Linked DNA regions of Elephas maximus indicus. The protein of the gene in region 1 interacts with the protein of each later gene in a pairwise test. Links are inferred from orthologs where the notes say so. Each region holds a gene or a part of one and is shown on either strand. Other genes may lie near its edges.

Evidence for each region. The genes of interacting proteins can lie anywhere in the genome.
Region 2: the proteins of ZGPAT (region 1) and CCDC57 interact in binary tests that used the Homo sapiens proteins (3 or more experiments, as listed by UniProt). The two-hybrid records come from large-scale screens. The link is inferred for Elephas maximus indicus from reciprocal best matches to the Homo sapiens genes ZGPAT and CCDC57.
Region 3: the proteins of ZGPAT (region 1) and LDOC1 interact in binary tests that used the Homo sapiens proteins (3 or more experiments, as listed by UniProt). The two-hybrid records come from large-scale screens. The link is inferred for Elephas maximus indicus from reciprocal best matches to the Homo sapiens genes ZGPAT and LDOC1.

Annotation. Positions count from the first base shown.
Region 1 is NC_064843.1:4,354,522-4,362,201, forward strand, and holds the start of ZGPAT (zinc finger CCCH-type with G patch domain-containing protein), read right to left. Parts: upstream 3,022-7,680; 5' UTR 2,994-3,021; exon of another isoform or gene 2,950-2,993; intron 2,943-2,949; exon of another isoform or gene 2,859-2,942; intron 2,692-2,858; 5' UTR 2,571-2,691; coding exon 2,470-2,570; exon of another isoform or gene 2,468-2,469; intron 2,351-2,467; coding exon 1,703-2,350; intron 1-1,702. Other genes in the region: ARFRP1 (ADP-ribosylation factor-related protein 1), read left to right, coding at 4,041-4,133, 4,345-4,432, 4,593-4,675. UniProt on the Homo sapiens protein: Transcription repressor that specifically binds the 5'-GGAG[GA]A[GA]A-3' consensus sequence. Represses transcription by recruiting the chromatin multiprotein complex NuRD to target promoters.
Region 2 is NC_064837.1:72,005,979-72,013,724, forward strand, and holds the start of CCDC57 (coiled-coil domain-containing protein 57), read right to left. Parts: upstream 3,021-7,746; 5' UTR 2,957-3,020; coding exon 2,911-2,956; intron 1-2,910. UniProt on the Homo sapiens protein: Pleiotropic regulator of centriole duplication, mitosis, and ciliogenesis. Critical interface between centrosome and microtubule-mediated cellular processes. Centriole duplication protein required for recruitment of CEP63, CEP152, and PLK4 to the centrosome.
Region 3 is NC_064846.1:14,503,375-14,509,355, forward strand, and holds LDOC1 (protein LDOC1), read right to left. Parts: upstream 1,925-5,981; 5' UTR 1,810-1,924; coding exon 1,339-1,809; 3' UTR 521-1,338; downstream 1-520. UniProt on the Homo sapiens protein: May have an important role in the development and/or progression of some cancers.

The DNA.
Region 1 (7,680 bases):
AATTATCTCTTCCCCCAATTGTGAATTTATCCCTACTCCAAGGTCAGCAGAATGCCTCAGGGCGCTTAATAGGGCCTATCTCAGGCCAAAGGAAATCAACAGCCACTGAAGCCGACTTGGGGGCTGGGAGCACGTTAAAATATACGCAAGTACCTAGCTTTCGCCGAGAGCACCGTTCCTCTCTGGTTCCGGAGATGTGGGCATGCCGTGCAGCTGGCTGCTTCTCCCTGAGGAAACCACGGCCTAACGCTACCACCAGCCTGCCGCAGCCACTCCTGGGAGTGGTGCCTGGGGGTTCCCGGCAATTCAGGTGCGGCAACTCCTCTCCGCTTATGAACTGTCTCTCCCGTCCCCTGCAGCTCAGTCTATTTTCTAACACCGCCTTGGACGTTCAGGGCTCCTTGCTTGTCATAAATATAATCGTTTCACTTGTTTTTTTGGGTCTTTGTTGTAAGAGAAATCGCAGGAAGCACCTGGCTATTCTACCATCTTGGCCGCGCCTCCTATCTTAGTTTTAAAAATCCAAAGCAAATTCAAGAAAATAACTTATCAGCTCTGGGTGGTGGAAAGGTGGGTGTTCACGAGATGCTTCAGCCAAACTCCATCCCTGCTGAGCTTTCAGCCTGTGAAATGGAGCCGCACGGATAGATTACAGCACTAACGTGTGGGGAACTCTTACAACTGCACACCTGGCCTGCAGGAAGCACCAGCTGGAAGTGCTCGCCCTCATCATCCTCCTAGGACAGCACATATAGACTCCGTGGTGAAAGCCTCCAGGAGGACTGAGGTGGGAAGCCTGTTCCTGCTCCTGTTTGCTGATTACACAGGTTCGTCCAGTGGGAAAACCCACTGAGGAAATTTATGATTTACACACTGTTCTGTACACACGTCATATTTCAATAAACACTGCAGAGAAAAAGGAAGGAGAACTTTGCCAAATAAGATTCTGGGCCCAAAAAGAATCTATAAGTCGATAACACAGTCAAAGAACGAGGATTAGTCACCGTGTCTGCTGGCTATAAAGAGGAGTTATCGACTGGAAGTGTCAGTAAATGTCCCTTTCAAAAACAGTAAAAAGGAAAAATAAAGTTAGATATTTTAGTAAAAAAGATATCATGGCGACAACCGTGGAAATCTGAGCGTGACTCAGGTATTACTGCTACATCTGTGAGGTATTATAACTACGTGATGTTTTTTATTTTACTCACGTCTGTGTCTGTTAGAGACGTATCCTAAAATACTCGCAGATGAAAAAAACAGTAACTCTTAGAATACGCCTTAAAGTATTCAAACTGGGGAAAACGAACAAAACTGGCAGAACGCTGACAACTGATGAAGCTGGACGACAAGGTAGGGGCAGCATGATCTTACCCTCTCTAATTCTGCGCGTGTTTGAAATTTTTCTTAATATAAGTAAATCGTAAAGGTTTCATTCTGGACAATACTGCTCCTGATGCGCTAGAAGCCTATTCTTTTCAACATAAGCTCTTCTGTCCTTCCCCCCAGTAAAACTGAAGTAGATATCTAACTGTGGACACTTCTGTGGGAAGCTACTGCTTCACAGAGCTCTCTCCTTGTCAGCCACTCTGCTGGGTCACGGAGGACAAAACTCCACCGCACAGACAGAGCCAGCTGGGATCCTGCCGCTCTCCGCATGTCCCTTACACCCTAACTGCTGGGGCACCAGAACAGAGGGCTTTACCTGCAGTTCTCCTTGAAGCGGCACTTCCCCTCCAGGAAGAATGGGCAGGGCTTCAGGGACTTGTGTGTGGGGTAGAGGTACAGCACCCGGACAGCAGCCGAGCCATCCTCTGCCTGTTCCGTGCCCACAATCATGGCATTGTGGTACTCCAGGGTGCCCCATGGGCTGTAGTAGGGGGCGTTCACCTTTGTCCCACTCAACTCTTCCTCCTCGTCATCCCCCCCTTCTTCTTCCTCTTGCCCAGGGTTGTTGGGTTCAGGCCCTGCCTCTCCTTTAGAAACAGTCTCCAATTCTGCTCCTGGGGCTTCTGGTACCTCAACTACCTCAGAGATGGTCTTCTGCAAAGCCAGGTACTCAGTATCCTCCTGGGCCAGGTGTTCTTGGTCCAGTGTAGCCAACAGTTTGCTCTTCCTGACAGACACCAAGCTGGCTTCAGTGAGCTTGATCAGCTCCTTCAGGTCTCCCTGCAGCTGGTGCAGGTCAGCCTGCTCCGATGCCTCCAGGCCAGTACCCATGGCCAGCTCCACTTGCTGAAGCTGCACATGGTAGGTCTGCAAGGCCATCTCCAAGCTGTCCTCATCCATCCTGCCGTCGAGGACACGGAGGTGTGTCCCTAGGTCCTCAGAGAGGAGGCTGCCGGAGCCAGAGCTGCAATGAGAAGGCAAATGAGCCCCGAAGTCTGCTGCCCTCATCCCGACACCACCCTGTAAGGCTGAAGCTGACTGAGCACCGGTTTGGCCGTGCTCTGTGCAGAGCCTTACTCACACGGTCTCAAGAAACTCTCAGACAGGCCGTGAAACAGCTCGGCGATTTCTCCCGTTGAAGGATGAGAATGCCGACAAGGGGGAGAACCAGCAAGGAATCCCATCCGATGGCCCCACAACCTCGTTTCCGCCGACGAAGAGCTACGCTTCCCTCCCAAGGCCTCCCTGGGATCATGCGTCGGGCTTGACCGGGGTTCTCCGTGTCCTGTCTGAGCTCGGGGCTCCCTGGTAGGCGACCAGAGAAGCCCGCGTCAGCTCCCCTCAGTCCGGCCCGCGACCCTCGGCCCAGTCAGCCCTCGGAGCCGGCCTCAACTCCCCCTGGGCCGCCCTGAGTACCCTTCGGGCCGACTCCGTTCTCCCGGGTCCACGCCCACCTCCGCGCCACCTCTCACCTCAGGCTCAGGCCCCGTCCCCTCAGAGCACGGTCCCCCCATCGCCCCGCGCGGTTACCCAGCAGCCGCCATAGAGCACCGCCCGCCTCACCGGCTAGAGCGGTCGGGCGACCCTCCTTCCGCCCTCGCACCTACCACCACTTCCGCCCTCGCGCCGCCGCCGCCGGAAGTGCGCGGCGCAGAGGCCGCCGGGAAGCGGTGCGCGGGGGCCGCCGGGAGCGGGTCTGGGTGGCCGAGGCGTCCCAGCAGGCGCAGCGCGGGGTCAGGTGCGGGTCGGGCGGCGGCTCGAGGCCCGCGGACAGGTAGGTCGCGCGTCCCGGCCGCCCCTCCCGCCGGCGTGAGGGCCAGGGGCAAGGCCATGGCAGTTCGCTGTTCTTGACAGGAACTCGGAACTCAGGGTCTGCGTGGGCGGCGGGGCTTTGGGCGCCGGGAGCCTCCGCCTCGGACGCCCGGGCCGGCCTTTCGCGGCCACCGCCGCCTCCAGGGGTGCTGCCCTGCGAGATCGACCCCAGCGGCTGCCGCAGCCCCGGCCCTGTGGCTTGTCTCCAAAGAACGGACGTCCCTTTCTCGTAGCCTCCTGTGGCTCCTGGCGAGTGCTGGCTCGAGGTGGGCGAGCAGGCCTGCGCCCTGGCACAGCCGGAACTTAAAGAGCTTTCGGTTGCCCAGGCTGAGTGGGAGCGACCGTGTTCCAGGACCCGCGTGTGAGAAAGCTGAGCTTGAGCGGAGTGCGGCCTGGTGGCCGGGCGCTCAGCGCCCGAGGGCGTGTGCCTGCGCGTTCGCACACGTGGCTGGGGTCCTCCGCGTACCGGGAGGGCGAATCAGGGATGGGACAAGAGTCCACATACGTCCTGAAAGGCCACAGTCGTTGTTGTGAGCGGAGTGACCTGGAGAGGCCAGGGCTAGGACTGAGGAACTCCGTGAGTGGTCCTGGGAAGGCTGTTGGCCACCAGGTGGTGGCAGTGGAGAAGGAGGAAGCAGGCCAGTTTGGGAGAAGTGGAGGCAGAGTCAGGAAGCTTGCTGAAGAGGTGGTGGAGCAGGGGTCAAGAGTGGCCCCTGGGGTCCTGGTCTGAGCAGTTGGCAGGACAGACCACGGATGGGGTGCTGTGTCCCAGCTGTGGAAGCTGGTGGGCAGTGAGGTGTGGGTTGGGCCACCCCTGACTGATTTGGGCGTCTCAAGGCAGGATGTACACGCTGCTGTCGGGCCTGTACAAGTACGTGTTCCAGAAGGACGAATACTGCATCCTCATCCTGGGCCTGGACAATGCCGGAAAGACGGTGCGTGCTGGGGCCCTTTTGGTTTTAGGCCTTCAGCTGCACACTGACCACCGAGACAGATGTTGAACCCCTTTTGAGGCCACAGGAAGGTCACCCCCCAGTTCCTCTCACATTGATCTGCCTTCTCAGGAGTGGGCCCAAGAAGGGACATATGGGAGGCAAACTTGGAAATTGGCTCTGCCTGCTGGCTGATGGTGTCTTCCCTCCTCAGACTTTCCTGGAGCAGTCAAAAACCCGGTTTAACAAGCATTACAAAGGGATGAGCCTGTCCAAGATCACCACCACCGTGGGCCTGAACAGTAAGTTGGGCCTTCAGGCTGCTCGTGTGGGGTGCTGAGCCCTGGGACGCTGCAGGGCCCCTCACGTGCCTGTGGGCAGCCTGCTCTTCTGAAACACAAGTGTGGGGGAGGTGGGAGATTCAGAGGAACAGGGTCACAGCCTTGTGCTCTCCTTCCCCAGTCGGCACTGTGGATGTGGGGAAAGCACGCCTCATGTTTTGGGACCTAGGGGGGCAGGAGGAGCTGCAGTCACTGTGGGACAAGGTGAGCTGCCGTGGGAAAGCGTGTGAGTGTGTGTGTGTGTGAGTGTGTCTCTGTATGTGTAGAGAGCTTGGGCCCCGCCACCCCACCTCTCCAGGCACCACCTGCCGCCACCCCTTTCCTCTCCGGACAGTGCCCCTTGTTCTCAACCGCCCTCAGGACCTGACTCAGCCTCTTTCCATCTCGTTAGCAGCTGCTTCATCCACTTTGTTCCTGAGGTTTCTCTTCCTGATCCTACCTCAGGCTGCCTAGTTGCTTCCCCAGAAGCAAGGAAGTCCTTGGTTGTTCTTAGCTTAAAAATTTTGTTGCTAATGATCACGAGACATGGACAAGTGACAGCCGAGGACTCAGTGCGGGCAAGTTGCAGAGGCTCTGTGGTGCTTAGCTGGTGGCCACTTCCAAGTCTCTTCTGATGGGTTTGAGCGTCTCCTCCCTCAACTTGGGCTTCAGTCAGCAAGACCTGTTTTTGCATGGTGGTTTCTTCTCTTCAGGGGGACGGCTTCCTCAGAGGTGGACAGCAATGCCTTCTCTTTTGACGTGGGTTTTGGGCACTTTGGAGGTCTCAGCATGGGGCTCTTCTGCCCCTACACCCCAAGACAACCCACACGGGATAGAGTTGGTCTTCAGCTCAGCCGTGTGCCTGCAGTGAGCAGACAGACCAGCCCCTCCCACAGAGAGCCCCTCTTCTCAGATTGGTGTGGGGCAGGACGCAGAGGTCCCCGCCCTGATACCTGCCAGTTGCCTCTGTGTGGGACCAAGTGCCGAGTGCTGGTTTCTCACCCCAGCAACAGGCATCCAGCAGTGTTCCTCCTGCCTGGCTTCAGCTGAGAGAGCGGCTGTCTTGCCAGCCAGAAGCTCTTGGCGTGCTCCGTGTGACCACCGGCACTGGCCGGAGGCTCTTGGCGTGCTCCGTGTGACCACCGGCACTGGCCGGAGGCTCTTGGCGTGCTCCGTGTGACCACCGGCACTGGCCGGAGGCTCTTGGCCTGCTCCGTGTGACCACCGGCACTGGCCGGAGGCTCTTGGCCTGCTCCGTGTGACCACCGGCACTGGCCGGAGGCTCTTGGCCTGCTCCGTGTGACCACCGGCACTGGCCGGAGGCTCTTGGCCTGCTCCGTGTGACCACCGGCACTGGCCGGAGGCTCTTGGCCTGCTCCGTGTGACCACCGGCACTGGCCGGAGGCTCTTGGCCTGCTCTCTGTGACCACCGGCACTGGCCGGAAGCCCTTGGCCTGGTTTTTGTGACCACCAGCACTGGCTGGAAGTTCTGGGCCTGCTCTCTCTGACCACTGGCACTGGCCAGAGGCTGACCGAGCCCAGGGCTCTCCTTATCAGAACACCAGACGCACATGGGAAGTAGAATAGGCCACATGGGATACATTTCCTTGTCACAGGCCAGGTTCTCAAGCAGACACAGACTGGGGCGCGGGGTGTTTATTGAAGATCAATACCTGGGAATAGAGCGGGGAAGATGCAGCCGTGGGTAAAGTGAGAAGTCATGCTTCAGTGCAGGTCCGGGAAGGTGTGGTCTGGCAGGCTGGCCCTTTGCAGATCCTGGAGAGCTGAGAGTAGGGCTTTCTGCAGGCACTCTGTCTGTGGCCGGCAGTGGCTGTGCTGCCTGGGCCACTGTGCACACGTGAGGTGGCTCCTCTGGGGTCCCAGCGGTCTTTCCTCATTTTCCGTCTGCTGACCTTCTGGGGCCTTATTGTGCTCAGCTGCCATGTCCGCTGGCCCCAGTGGCTTACCTGGCAGAATGACCCAGAGTCCGCAGCAAGCCCTGGGCACCGAGCCTTCCCCATGTGCAGTCCTGGGGTGGGGCACCCAGTCCCGCATGTGTTCCCCCAGCGCTGTGGACTGCAGCCCTGCCTCCTGCAGCTGGGCTCAGTTACCTCTACACGAGGCGTCTCCTTTTGGTAACTGGGGTCCCTGGACACAAGCCCAAAGTGGTGCAGCCAGAGTTTGTAGTTGACTTGCCTTGCCGTGTCCTCTAGTGAGAGTGCCCTTTAGGGACCCAGGCCTCAGGGTGGAGGGCCAGTGGCACCGGCCCCAGCATATCACTGGAAGGGGAGGGCCAACCCCCTGCTTCCTCCCCGGTTCCCAGACCTGTGTGTCCTTGAGGGAGAGGGGAGGTATGCACCACCTGAAGGTACTTCCTGCAGGAACTCCACGTGAAGGTCCGTGATCAGTGAGTCTGCTGTGTTCTGGAGCTTGTACCGTAGCAGAGGGCGGTGCCTAGGTGTGAGCACATATAACGAGTGGCTAGCTGCCAGTCATAGTCTAGCTGGTACCTCCTTTTCTGGGGAGTCCCAGTCTAATGTGATGTGACAACATCCGTACTGGTGTTTGACCCGGTGAGCCCTCAGTGCTGCTGGAGAGTGTCCTTGGGCAGGGAAGACAGACTTACACGCAGTACACACGTCTGCAGGAGAGTGGGAGAGGCCCAGTGTAGTCAGCCTGCCGGCATGGGCCCAAAGGCTCCTAGAGCAGTGACACCCCACCAGAGCTCCACACTGTTCTCTACTACTGCAGGGTGTGTGGTTGGCAGCAGTTTTCTCAACCTTGTCAGCCACTGTGGGCCCCTGTGTGCATGCACCCATCACATAGCATGGGCAGCTTAGTCGGGCTGGCCACAACGTTTTTGTCGCTGGTGGGTGCACTGGTGGTCCTTGGTGTAGGGTGCAGGCCTCTCCGTGGGCCGAGTTTGCTACTCCATGCCTACTGCCTGATACTTGTCCCAGGCTTCGTGGTGCCTGCTCTTCTGGCCTGGCCGTGTGCCACCACCTATGGGCTCTATGCCACCACCTGTCTGGCCTGCATCCACACATCGAGCTGGCCTGCCTGCACACCAGCCACGAGTCTTTCTCTTTCTGCTGGTTGCACAGGGCGCCCCATCAAGGCATTTCTGGGGCTGGTGGCCTTAAGCAGTCGTCACCCTGCACAGGCCAGAGAAGCTGTCTGTGTGCAGGACTTGCTGCTTCCAGGGTCTGAGGAGGCCACCAGATGCTGGC
Region 2 (7,746 bases), on another chromosome or scaffold:
GCCAGGCTCAGAGAAAGGATCACAAACCAGGCAAGGGAAAGTAGCACAAGCCCTGTGGTAATGGATGGGAACTGAAGGTGTCAGTGCAAATTCATAGGTACACAGATGTAGAAATAGACAGGTGTGTATGATATATACAAAGATGTATTTCCCTGCTCTGTCCCTTGAGAAGGCCAAGGAGCAATGACACCCCAGAAGCAGCGAGCACACCCAGTACCCAGATGTCTAAACACCGTCCTCAACTAAAAGGAACTAGAGAATAGCTGATTCCAGGGCTAGTCCAGGAGAGCACAAGATGAGCCTGGGACATCTGTGGTACCAGAAAGTAAAGAAGTGCTCCGGAAGAGGACCCAGAGGCCAACCTGAAGGGCTCCCAATGGCCAAATATGGGACAATCCAACCAACAAAATCAATGATAGTACTAGATTACAACCCATGGAATAAAATCACAATCCATGAGTTACGGACTAGTACACATACCCTACACAAAATACATAGACTAATATACGAATAGCTGGAGCCCTGGTGACCCTGTGGTTAAGAGCTCGGCTGTTAACCAAAAGACCAGCAGTTCAACTCCACCAGCCGCTCCTTGGAAACCCTATGGGGCAGCTCTACTCTGACCTACAGGGTCACCACTCAACAGCAATGGGTTTTTTTTTTTTTTTTAATATATGAATATATAAAAAATACACCAATACACAAAAATAAATGAATAAATAGATAAATGGGGGAGACGGGAAGGTTCTTCCTTACAGTTGTTGTTAGGTACCATGGAGTCAGTTCCGACTCATAGTGACCTTACAGTAGAATTTCAAATTACAAATGTAGAACGAATATGGAATAGACAGATATACATTAACAGCTGCTTCAGGCAAAACTCAGCTCATGATGCTAAAGCTAATGGTAGGAAGAACAGCGTGAAACAAGATACTTCCATAGTCTCAAAATATTCCCTCACAGATATATTTATCATTTACAAGAGAGAACAGCAACTGTACAGTGGAGAGGCCTGGCAGACGCGCTCACACCAAGTGATCGAAGTCAGCATCACCACGAATGGGACCAGTCAGTGTCACAGGCCTCCTGACAAGCTACACTGAGAAAAACACTGCTTCGCTTTTGAGATTTCCTTACATCAAAGGAAACTGAAACCAAGGGGCATCCTACAAAATTGCTAGCTAGAGCTCTGCAAATGTGTCAGGGTTGTGAAAGACACAGAGGCCGAGGAAAGGCTGCCGATTGAAGAAGGCGAAGAAAACACAGCAGCTAAACGCAAGGCGCAGCCACAACAACGGACTCAAACACACCAACGATGGTCAACGTGGTGCGGGACCAGGTGACGTTCCGTTCCGTTGTGCCTAAGGTAACCCTGAGTCGGAGAAACTCGATGGCAACAACCAGCCACCACCACCACCACCACAAAAGCAATGCAGGGTCCTGGACTGGATCCTGGGTCAGAGTGAAGTCCTCACAGAGATAGCTGCTAAGTTTGAATACAGCCTGGTACCCCTCGCCTTCGAGTCGACTCAGACTCATCGCGACCCTATAGGACAGAACAGAACTGCCTCCGTGGAATATCCAAAGAGCACCTGGTGGATTCAAACTGCCGACCTTTTGGTTAGCAGCGGTAGCACTTAACCACTACACCACCAGGGTTTCCTACCGCCTGATATCAATGTTAATTTCCTGACTTTTGGTACGTGAACTGTGTAAGAAGTTAACATTTTTTAGGAAACTGCTTGAAAAGTGCTCAGAAATTCTTTGTACTATTTTTGCAACTTTTCTGTAGGTCCTAAATAACTGGGGGGGGGGGGGGGGGTGGGTCAGACTCTGGAGCCAGACTGCCTAGGGTTGGCCCCCTTTACTGGCTGTAGAACTTGGGCAAATGATCTTATTTCTGTGTGTGGCACCTTCATCGTCTGTAAAAAGGCAATAACCATGCCCTGCCATCAGGTTATTGGGTTTGTTTTTTTTTTCCCCAAATAACGACAAAACACAAAGCACTATAGCAGGAAGCTTCGGTGCCAGGTTCCCATCCTTCCACCCGCACTTCATCAACCCAGGAAGTAATAGCAGTGTCGTCTACCACTGGGAGCAGAGAGGGGGAAGAAGGGCAAACAGCAGTCAGTGAGCTTCCGGGGCGCTCGGGTGGACCCGCGCTGTTCCAGCATTCTGCTGTTGTTGTTCCAGGCCTTGCAGTCGGTTCCGACTCACAGCGACCCTGTGCACAAAAGGAAACACTGCCCGGTCCTGCGCTATGCCCACAATCGCTGCTACGTCCGAGCCCACTGTTGCAGCCACTGTGTCAATCCTTCTCGTTGAGAGTCTCTTTTTTGCTGACCCTCCACTTTCCCAAGTGTGATGTCCTTCTCCAGGGACAGGTCCCTCCCGACAACATGTCCAAAGCAGTAAGACCGACTAGAACCAGAATGTTCCAGCATTCTAGCTGATACTATGTCCCCACTTCACAGGTGAGGGTGAAGAACTGTCCGGGCCGCGCCTGGCCGCGCCGGCGGACCCCGAGCCCGAGCCCGGCCGCGCCGGCGGACCCCGAGCCCGAGCCCGGCCGCGCCGGCGGACCCCGAGCCCGAGCCCGGCCGCGCCGGCGGACCCCGAGCCCGAGCCCGGCCGCGCCGGCGGACCCCGAGCCCGAGCCCGGCCGCGCCGGCGGACCCCGAGCCCGAGCCCGGCCGCGCCGGGGCGGTCACCGTCGGACACCGCGTTCCTGAGGAGCGATGTCCCCCGAGACGTGGAGGTCACGGGCTTCTGCACAGAGTGTGGCCAGCAGGCGGCGATCTGCAGGCCGAGGACGCGGTCCTCGCACGTTACCCGCCCCGGCGACCCTGTCTCTCCGCCGCGTCCGGGTCGCCAAGCCCCGCTCCTCCCCGTCCCCGCGCCGCGGCTCACCGGGATCTTCTGTCCGCCGCTGCCGCCAGTCCCCCCGCGTTGCCATGACGACTCGGTCCTTCGGCCGCGGCCGGGCGCGCTCCGTGCGCCGCTGGGCTCCGCCGGGCGGAAACGCGAACCCCGGCTCCGGGTTCCGGCTCGCGGCCGCCGCCACTCAAAACAACGAAGAGGAGTCCCGGGAAAAGGGCCTGGGCGACAGCCTGCCCGGCTCCCCCGGCCTGCTGCCTCGTACACTTAGCCCGGGCCGGCTTCCGCACCAGTCCGTGGGCCCCTCAGGACAGAGCTCCTGTTCGAGGGGAGCGGCCGCTGGTCGCCGGGTCCGCTCCAGGACCGGGTGCACCAAAGGGTGCCCGCGCTACCTCGCCCCGGCCCGGCCCCCAGAGCCACAGCACATCGGGGGCCAAGTCCATGTCCCGCAGTGAGCCCAGGCCTGGGGCCGGGAGATCCCACGGAGCGGACACAGCCCTCGGTGGCAATGAGGTCCCGGCAGAGGGGACAGCGCCCCTTCCGTGGGTCGGGGTCTGCGTCCTGGCCCTGCGTGCCTCAGTGGGGCCAACCTGCGAAGTGGGGTCGACGAGAGCTCTGCACACTCCCTGACCCTGTGGTGACTGTGACCATCCCTGCAGCCCAGCCAAGGGTGCCAGGCCCTCAAGCTTCACAGCTGGCTGACCAAGAACTTGGGCTCCGGGACCTCGATTCCTGAGTTCTAATCCCAGTCTGACTTGGTCGAGGATGTTATAGATTGAATTGTGTCCCCCAAAAATGTTTGTCAACTTGGCTAGGCCATGATTCCCAGTATCATGTCATTGTTCACCATTTTGTCATCTGCTGTGATCTCCCTGTTGTTAGGTGCCATCAAGTCAGTTCTGACTCATAGAGACCCTATGAATGAAACACTGCCCAGTCCTGCACCATCCTCACAATCATTCTGCTTAAACCCTCTGTTGCAGCCACTGTGTCAATTCATCTCATTTAGGGTCTTCCTCTTTTTCGCCAACCCTCTATTTTACCAAGCATGATGTCCTTCTCCAGGGACTGATCCCTCTTGACAACATGACCAAAGTATGTGAGACACAGCCTTGCCATCCGTGCTTCTAAGGAGCATTCTGGCTGTACTTCTTCTAAGATAGATTTGTTCATCCTTTTGGCAGTCCATGGTATATTCAAGATTCTTCACCAACACAATTCAGAGGTATCAACTCTTCTTCAGTCTTCTTTATTCATTGTCCAGCTTTCACCTGCATAGAAGGGGGTTGAAAACACCATGGTTTGGGTCATGAGCACCATAGTCTTCAGGGTGACATCTTTGCTCTTCAGCACTTTGAAGAGGTCCTTTGCAGCAGATTTGCCCAATGCAATGCGTCTTTTGATTTCTTGACTGCTGCTTCCATGGCTGTTGATTGTGGACCCAAGTAAAATTAAATCCTTGACAGCTTCAATCTTTTCTCCATTTATCATGATGTTGCTTATTGGTCCAGTTGTGGGGATTTTTGTTTTCTTTATGTTGAGGTGTAATCCATACTGAAGGCTGTGGTCTTCGATCTTCATCAGTAAGTGCTTCAAGTCCTCATCACTTTCAGCAAGCAAGGTTGTGTCATCTGCATAAGGCAGGTTGTTAATGAGTCTTCCTCCAGCTTCTCGTATTATTTGCTCAGCATACAGACTGAATAGGTATGGTGAAAGGATATAACCCTGACACACCCCTTTCCTGACTTTAAACCATGCAGTCTCCCCTTGTTCTGTTCCATCAGCTGCCTCTTAGTCTCTGTACAGGTTCTGCATGAGCACAATTCAGTGCTCTGGAATTCCCATTCTTTGCAATGTTATTCATACTCTGTTATGATCCACACAGACAAAAAACTTTGCATAGTCAATAAAACACAGGTAATATTTCTGGTATTCTCTGCTTTACAGGTAGGATCCATCTGACATCAGCAATGATATCCCTTGTTCCATATCCTCTTCTGAATCCAGCTTGAATTTCTGGCAGTTCCCTGTCAATGTACTGCTGTAGCCATTTTTGAATTATCTTCAGCAGAATTTTACTTGCAAAAAAAACACCCAGTTTTTTTTTTTTTTTTTTGCAGTGTGACATAAATGATATTGTTCAATAATTTTCACGTTCTGCTGGATCTCCTTTCTTTGGAATGGGCACAAATATGGATCTCTTCCTGTTGGCTGGCCAGGTAGTTGTCTTCCAAATTTCTTGGCATAGACAAGTGTGTACTTCCAGTGCTGTATCCGTTTGTTGAAACTTTTCAGTTGGTATTCCATCAATTCCTGGAGCCTTGTTTTTCACCCATGCCTTCAGTGCAACTTGGATTTCTTCCTTCAGTACCATTGGTTCCTGCTTATATGGTACTTCCTGAAATGGTTGAACATCAACCAATTCTTTCTGGTATAATGACTGTGTATTTCTTCTATCTTCTTTTGATGCTTCCTGAGTCATTTGATATTTTCCCCATTGAATCCTTCAATATTGCAACTGAAGGCTTTAATTTTTTTTTCAGTTCTTTCAATTTGATAAATGCAGAAAGCGTTCTTGCCTTTTGGTTTTCCATCTCCAGCTCTTTCCACATGTCATTATAATACTTTACTTTGTCTTCTAGAGCTGCCCTTTGAAATCTTCTGTTCAACTCTTTTACTTCATCATTTCTTCCTTTCGCTTTAGCTACTCAACGTTCAAAAGCAAGTTTCGGAGTCTCTTCTGACGTCCATCTTGGTCTTTTCTTTCTTTCCTGTCTTTTTAATGACCTGTTGCTTTCTTCATGTATGATATCCTTGATGTCGTTCCACACAACTCGTCTGGTCTTTTGGTCACGAGTGTTCAACACATCAAATCTGTTCTTGAGATGGTCTCTAAATTCAGGTGGGATATACTCAAGGTCATACTTTGGCTCTCGTCAACTTGTTCTAATTTTCTTCAGTTTCACCTTGAACTTGCATATGAGCAACTGATGGTCTGTTCCACAGTCAGCCCCTGGTCTTGTTTTGACTGATGATATTGAGCTTTTCTATTGTCTCTTTCCACAGATGTAGTCGATTTGATTCCTGTGTATTCCACCTGGAGAAGGCCATGTGTATAGTTGCCATTTATATTGGTGAAAAAACGGTATTTGCAATGAAGAAGTCATTGGTCTAGCAAAATTCTGTCATGTGATCTCCAACATCATTTCTATCACCAAGGTCATATTTTTCAAGTACCAATCCTTCTTCTTTGTTTCTGACTTTTGAATTCCAATCTCCAGTAACTATCAATGCATCTTGGTTGCCTGTTCGATCAATTTCAGACTGCAAAAGCTGGTAAAAATCTTCAATTTCTTCATTTTTGGCCTCAGTGGTTGGTGTGTAAATTTGAATAATAGTCCTATTAACTGGTCTTCCTTATAGGCATATGGATATTATCCTATCACTGACAGCATTGTACTTCAGGATAGATAATGTAATGTTCTTTTTCATGGTGAATGCAACACAATTCCTCTTTGTCATTCCTGGCATAGTAGACCATATGATTGTCCAATTCAAAATGGCCAATACCAGTCCATTTCAGCTCATTAATGGCTAGGACCTTCCCATGTGTTGAAAATCCTACTTCTATGATGTTAATGAGGCAGGAGTCAATCTACAAGGTTAGGCTGTGTCTTGAGTCAATGCCTTTTGAGACATTAAAGAGAGAAGCCAGCAGAGAGACAGGGGGACCTCTTGCCACCAAGAATGAAGGACCAGGAGGGGAGCATGTCTTTTGGACCCGAGGTCCTTGTGCTGAGAAGCTTCTAGACCCGGGGGAAGATTGATGACAAGGACCTTCCCCCAGAGCCGACAGAGAGAGAAAGCCTTCTCCTGGATCTGTTGCCCTGAAACTGGACTTCTAGTCTCCTAAACTGCAAGAGAATAAATTTTCCTTTGTTAAAGCAATTCACTTGTGGTATTTCTGTTATAGCAGCACTAGAAAACTAAGGGGAGGACCCCGACCCAGGGTGACCCCGTGCACAACGCTGCTAACCTTAAATATGACCCTGTTTGGGAATAAGGGGTTTTCTTTTGTCATGTTAACGAAGGCACACCAGCATAGGGTGAGTCCTAAACCTAATCTGAGGGGTGTCTCATAAAAAGAGCAAAATAGACACAGAGACACACAGGGGAAAATAGACACCACGTGAGGATCATCTGCGAGCCCAGACCCTGATTTGGACTTTCAGCCTCCAGAACTGTGAGAAAACAAATTTCTGTACTTGTGGCATTTGGGTTACAGCAGCTCTAGGTAACTAAGACAGTTCTGTAACTTGCCCCTGTTTACCGACAAGCAAACCGAAGTATTGTACTGCCCAGCACAGCGATGTCGACACACGTCAGCTGGTTCCATCATCCATGGCGCAAACAAGGGAAGAGGAAGGCCAAAAGGCCATCACCTGGGGGGTTGGGCCTGCAGCTCTCAGGATGCTACTGACTGACCACTGGGTGGGCACCCTGGCCCAGCAGCTGGGATGACCCTCCCAGGGCAATGCACCAGGGAGGCAGGGAGCCCAGGGCTGCCCAAGGACGCCCAGCCCTAATCACCCACGACCACTGGGCCTTTCTTCCAATTTCTGGCTGCTAGGTTTGTGGTACTGGTGGTCATCCCCAGTGGGAACCTCTGCCTCCAGGCTGCCTGGAGTCCCGTGAGTACAGGGCAAGGGGCAAGAGGCGTGGGTGGAGCCTAGCCTGAGCAAGTCACTTCCCCTGCTTTGGACCACGTCCTGCCCTAGGCCTGCCTGGCCACTTCTCCATCTGCCCAGCCGTCTGCTCACAGGCCCTGGAGGCAGGAGGGGAGCCCAGAACCACACCCAAGGCATGGCT
Region 3 (5,981 bases), on another chromosome or scaffold:
AGGTGTCTGACCCACTGAGATCAGGCTGTGTTGATTATGGGTGCACTTACCCAGGATCCAGGATTTAATGTTAACTGGAGCACCTGAAAGTGTGCGACACTGGTTAATTGAGCTTGAGCTCCACCACACCCCCACAAGCAATACAGATTAAGGGCCAGAATTTCCCTGGCAGCATTGAGGAAGGAATTCAAAGGCCCAGGGAGATGGGAACATCATATATGTGTCCAGACTCCTGCCTGTTGTCCCCATCTAATTATCAAGTGCCCCCAATTTAGGATCATGTGCCACCTGTTCAGCCACCCCCTATCCATGCCACCCTGGAGTACCCAGAGGCCACTTCTTTCACCATGGCTTTAAGAAATGCCCTGGTGAGGGGAGCTCCAGACTCTGTATCAAGCCCAGCGGTGGCTGCCCCTTAGCCTAGAGATGACAGTAGGTTATAACTGGGATGGAACTTGGTCCCCTGATCTCAGTGGGAATAAGGAGAGCCAGAGTGGGAGTGGCAGCACTTAACCATTAAAAGACAATATATTTTTTTAGTGCTTGATATTTATTGAAAAGAATGCAAATGCTTTTTCCAGGTAGTATTGGGCTGAGTACCTGTCTTTGTTTGTTTGTCTGTTTTGGTTTTTGTATTTTGTTGTCCAAATGCACGCATCTGCAGGACTGCTGCAATTTTGAAAGAAAAACAACAGCTGTGCACAACTGATGCGGAGGAGAGAAGAAATGTCCCAATTTGGTGGCCAGACCCCAGCAGCCACCTGGTGGGGCAGGGGAGATGCTGGGAATAGGCAGGGAACTAACCAGGCTGAAAGGCTTGTCTTTGCAAGGGTCAGTGAATTGTCCAAATCAGTGTTCAAGGAGGTGCACCCAACTCAGGCATCTTCTAAGTTGGTCCTTAGCTCCAAAGGTGGTGGACGTCAGTGGGAAGCCGTAGATGGCAGCTTAGGTCTCTGGGCAGATGCAGACCTGGCAGTCAGGTGAGTGGCAGCAGCGGGACTGTGGGTGGTCTGTCCAATTTGTCACCTGGGCCTGGCCTACAGCTGGGGTTCAGGCGACATGCCAAATTGACAGGGAGGGTCCTGGGGCTGGCCAGAACGGGCGGTGGGGAGGTGCCTAGGGATACCCCCGCCCCAGCAGCAGGTTATTGGAGCACTATTCCTGGAACAAAGACAAGCACTACGGGGGATGAAGAGAGAACCAGAGAACCGAAGGGCAGGGAGAGGGAAGGTGACCAAGGAGGACAGGGGACAAGGGTAAGCGCGGCGGCTCAGGAGAGGAGGGTGAGGAGGGTGGCAGCGTGCAAAGCCCTCCCCCCAGGCCCGAAGGGCTCCGGGCCTAGTAATAGTCGTCTTCCTCATCGTCATCGTCGTCGTCGTCGTCGTCGTCATCATCATCATCATCTTCATCATCGTCCCAACCGAAACACTGCTTCAGCTCATCGAGGAAGGCCTGGTAATCTCCTAGGATGGGGCTATCCAGCTCGATGTAAGGAACCACCCACTCTTCCGCTTCCCCGGTCAGGAGGCTAATTAGGAAGGCTACCTTCATGGCGTCGTTGCAGAATCGGTTCTCGTTGACAAGCATGTAGGACGTCGTCTGCACGATAAACTCGGGGAGCCGGGCGCTCTCGCCGCTAAACGTCTCGGGGAAGGGCACCGGGCAGCTGGGCGGACGTACCTGGCGCAGCAGGCTGGCTCTCTCGCACACCAGCAGCCGCAGCTGCTCCATTAGCTGGCTGTTCTCGATGCTCAGGGCCCGGTGCCGCATCAGCAGCGCGTGCAGCAGCAGCACCAGCTCGTCCACCATGGCGAACGCCTTGGAGGGGCTCGGGTCGCTCGGCTCGGCCACGGGCTGCGCGGAGGCCTCGCAGGAAGTGCGTGTCCACCGGGGCGCGCGAGGAGGTGGAGGGGACAGCGCACCGGGGGCCTGGCCACTGCGCAGGCTCCGCCCACTGGTCGCTAGGGCGGCCGGCTGGGCGCGGGGGGCGTGGCATGGATAGGACAGGCAGGGCCGCGGGGGCGAGGCCATGAATGGGCTCGCTGGGGCGTGGGGGCGTGGCTAGGGGCAGGGCTGGCAGGGGCTTCACCAGCCCGCCGGTTTATCCGGGCCGTTAGACACCTGGGTTGTGAGCTGCATTAACCGAGGGCCTAGCAGGCGCCGAGACCTATCTCTCAAGGAGAGCCAACCGGCTCAAATTGAAAGGATTAACAACCACCTTCCCCCCCACACACCCAAAAAAACACAGTTCAGTGTTCCCTTCCTAGGTCTGCAGCCACTAGATTCTATTTGCATGAATTCCACGCACCCAAAGAACTCCTGGCTGCAGAAGTGGGTGTCTTGCAGGATTCACATTCTTTCTGAGACATACACACCCTCAAGGGGTCCTGTCTTTCATGACAAAACAAAATTTAAACGGAATTTACTTGGGAAATGTTGTATAACTCATTTTTTATTTTTCTAAATAGCGAGGTATAAAAAGTTCTGCAAAATCAGAATCTGATAACCCTTTGCAGGCATCCTATTTGTACGTCTAGTTCATGTCTTAATATTGGCGTCCCTTGGCCATTAAGTGTTATTATTATTCTTTGCTTAACAATTAAGACGTTTGTGTTTTTAAATGCATTTGTTTTTCTGCTTTGAAAGTGATTATTCCAGTAGGTGTTGAGCAACTGAGTTGACCCAGGACCTTAGAGTCAACATATCCTGTTGGCTCTGCTTTTAAAATATATCCCCAATTAAATCACTTCTTGTCACCTCTACCACTAACACCCTGGTCTAAGACTTCTTTTTTGCACCCATACTTCCACAACTGATGTCTTAGCTTTCACTCTTACCCTCCTCCTGTAGTATATACCCCACAGAGTAGACACAGGAACCTCTTTAAAACAAAAGTCACCTCATTAAAAAACCAGTTGCTGTCAAGTCAGTCCCGACTCATGACAACCCCATGGGTGTCAGACTAGAACTGTACTCCACAGAGTTTTCAATGGCTGATTTTTGGAAGTAGATTGCCAGGCCTTTCTTCTGAGGTGCCTCTGGGTGGAATTGAACTTCCAATCTATTGGTTAGTAACCAAGTGAGTTTATTGTTTGTGCCCAGGAATACATATTTGCTGTGGTTTCTTATAAAGTTAAACATATACAGTAAAAACCTACGAAAGCTGGAACCTGTGTAAGGGGAAAACCTGTCAGAGAAGGAATACTCAAATATTTTCCACTAATAGAGAGTGATAGGAAACAGTGATAAAAGGGGGTATAACTGCATTCTGTCAAAGATGGAAAACTTGTGAAACCCGGAAAAACAAGGCATTCCACTATAGGACAGAGTAGAACTGCCCCATAAGATTTGCAAGGCTGTAAATGGAAGCAGCGTGTCACATTTTTCTCCTGCTGAGTGGCTGATAGGTTCGAACTGCAAACCTTTCAGTTAGCAGCTAAATGCTTAACCACTGTGCCACTAGGGCTCCTTTCATATGTACCTTGCAACTGAGCAATTCCATTCCTAGTATTTACCCTAAAAGAATAAAAATATATGCTCACAAAGATTTCTGCTAGAATGCTTATAAAGTGTTGGAGACAACACAAATGACCATCAAAAGAAGAATGGATAAAACAACTTGTGGCACATCCTTATAATCAATACCACTCAGCAAGCTGTTAACACACATAAACAAGAATGAATTCCAGAAGCATTATGTTGGCTGAAAGAAGTCAGGCACATAAGCGTGACTATGTGGTTCAATTTATACGAAATCCAAGAAGAGGCAAAACTACTCTGTGGTGACAGAAATCAGAAGAAAGGTTATCTGAGGCTGAATGTATAGGGCAGATTGACTGCAAAGAGGCACAAGGGAACTTTTTGAGGTGGTGAAATGTTCTGTATCTTTACTGTGGTGGTGTTTACATGATTCAATACAATTGTTAAAACCCATCAGACTAAACACTAAAATCTATGCCGCTTGATTTATGTAAATAAACCTACATTTAAAAAAAAAAAAACTGTAGAGAACTGTTTCCAAAGACCTCAACAAAAGAAAAACTAACACAAAAATTCTAAACATAACACAACTGTCATTTAAGTATAAAGACAGAGAAGGTTTTTAGTGCCAGGAATATATTTCCCAGGAGTCATTTTTGAAGATACTGCTAAAGCTCAAATTTTAGCACTCTCTCTCTCTCTCTCTCAAGGTCTAGTCAGGTAAATAGAAGCTACCCTATGCACAGACAGTTCTCTTTTTGTATAATATTTTTGTGCACCATTTCAGAAGGCACGTGATGTCAATTTGTTCCATCACGGATGATGGTAATTTTATCATTTAGTTAAGATGTGTTAGTTAACTAACACCACTCCCCAACAACATGGCTAAAATTTCAGTTACCATGGTATATCAACTGAGTAACAGCATAAAGCCCAGATTTTGCTGTTCATTCTTTAGTCTATATATCACTATGTAAATAACAGATGTACCTCATGGTAAGTGACCAATCACATCACTTCTTTGAAAGTCTGTTGGTGATTGGTCACTGTGTATCTAATAGTTCATGCACAGACAGAAAAGCATGCTAATTATGTTGCCTCTTTGTCTTCCAGTGATAAAGCCATGTGACATTTTATAAAAATAGATAATGGAAGGATGGAATTGGCCAACAAATGACAGCTCAGCAAAGATGTGAAAAATAATACTGAAAGTGAAGTTGGAAAGTGGTTGTGATGAAAGGGAAGAAGCTGTTCCAGAGAAGTGATACTGGGGGGGTAGGGGACAACTTTACATTAAAGGAACTCTTGGAGAAATTTTACATTGAAAGAGCAAAGGATAAAATGTTAGAAGCTGATCCATACTCAGAAAACCCAAAAACCAAACCCAAACCCATTGCCGTCGAGTCGATTCCCACTCATAGTGACCCTATAAGACAGAGTAGAACTGCCCCATAGTTTCTGAGGAGCGGCCTGGTGGATTTGAACTCCCGACCTCTTGGTTAGCAGCTGTAGTACTTAGCCACTATGCCACCAGGGTTTCCATACTCAGAAAGGAGTATGACAATTTGCCAAGGCATATAAAAGATGCTTACTCTGTTCCATAAGTTATACATACAGTGAAAAAAAGAAGTCAAGCATTATTCAAATATTCTTGGTAAGTTTTTTTTTTAAAGAAATAAAACACTTTAATGCTCAATGTTTCTAATGTTTAAAATCACAGTATACAAAATAACTGTTAAGTTAGTACACTGTGCTAAATTTTTATCCTATTAATTTTTTTTTCTCTCTATATTTATAACTAACGCCAAGAGGGTGTTAATATTTTGTGAAAAAAAATTTAAAAGTCACGGAAAATTGTAATTTTCCCCATTGATTATTAAAATAATTTTGCATAATTTCAGTTTGCAAGATTATTTTTATGGCCTCACACTACTGTGCTAAGGGGTTTAATATAACTAATGGGACAGTTGGGGATGAAAGAGAAGTCTTCATGGATAATCACTGACTGAAGCACCAAAGTTGGTGGTTCTCATGAGCTTGATGAGGAGCTGTTGTGATTTTCAATAATCTCAGTGAAGCTCCCAATCACTATCTCAGTCTAATATAACAAAGTCTCAGTCTGATACAACAAAGCAGATGTTTCTCAAGAGCTTAGTAGGAAACCCCTGTGAATCTCATGTCTGCCAATGCACCTGGCTGCAACTGCTCGAAGAGTATGATGGACTGTTCTCTTCCACCTTCTAAATCTTATGTCAGTGCCTCTGACTCATGTTAATTGAGAACCACTTAGGGAATTCTGAGAAATTGTTCCCTGGCTTCTCTTCTGTGATATAATGTAAACCTTAAAATAGCTTGGTGGTCATGGTAGGCAGAATAACAGACACCCAAAGATGTCTGCACCCTAATCCCTGAAACCTGTGAATATGTTACCTTACATGTGGAAAGAGAACTTTGCAGATGGAATTAAGGTTACCTTAAAATGAAGAGATTATCCTGGATTA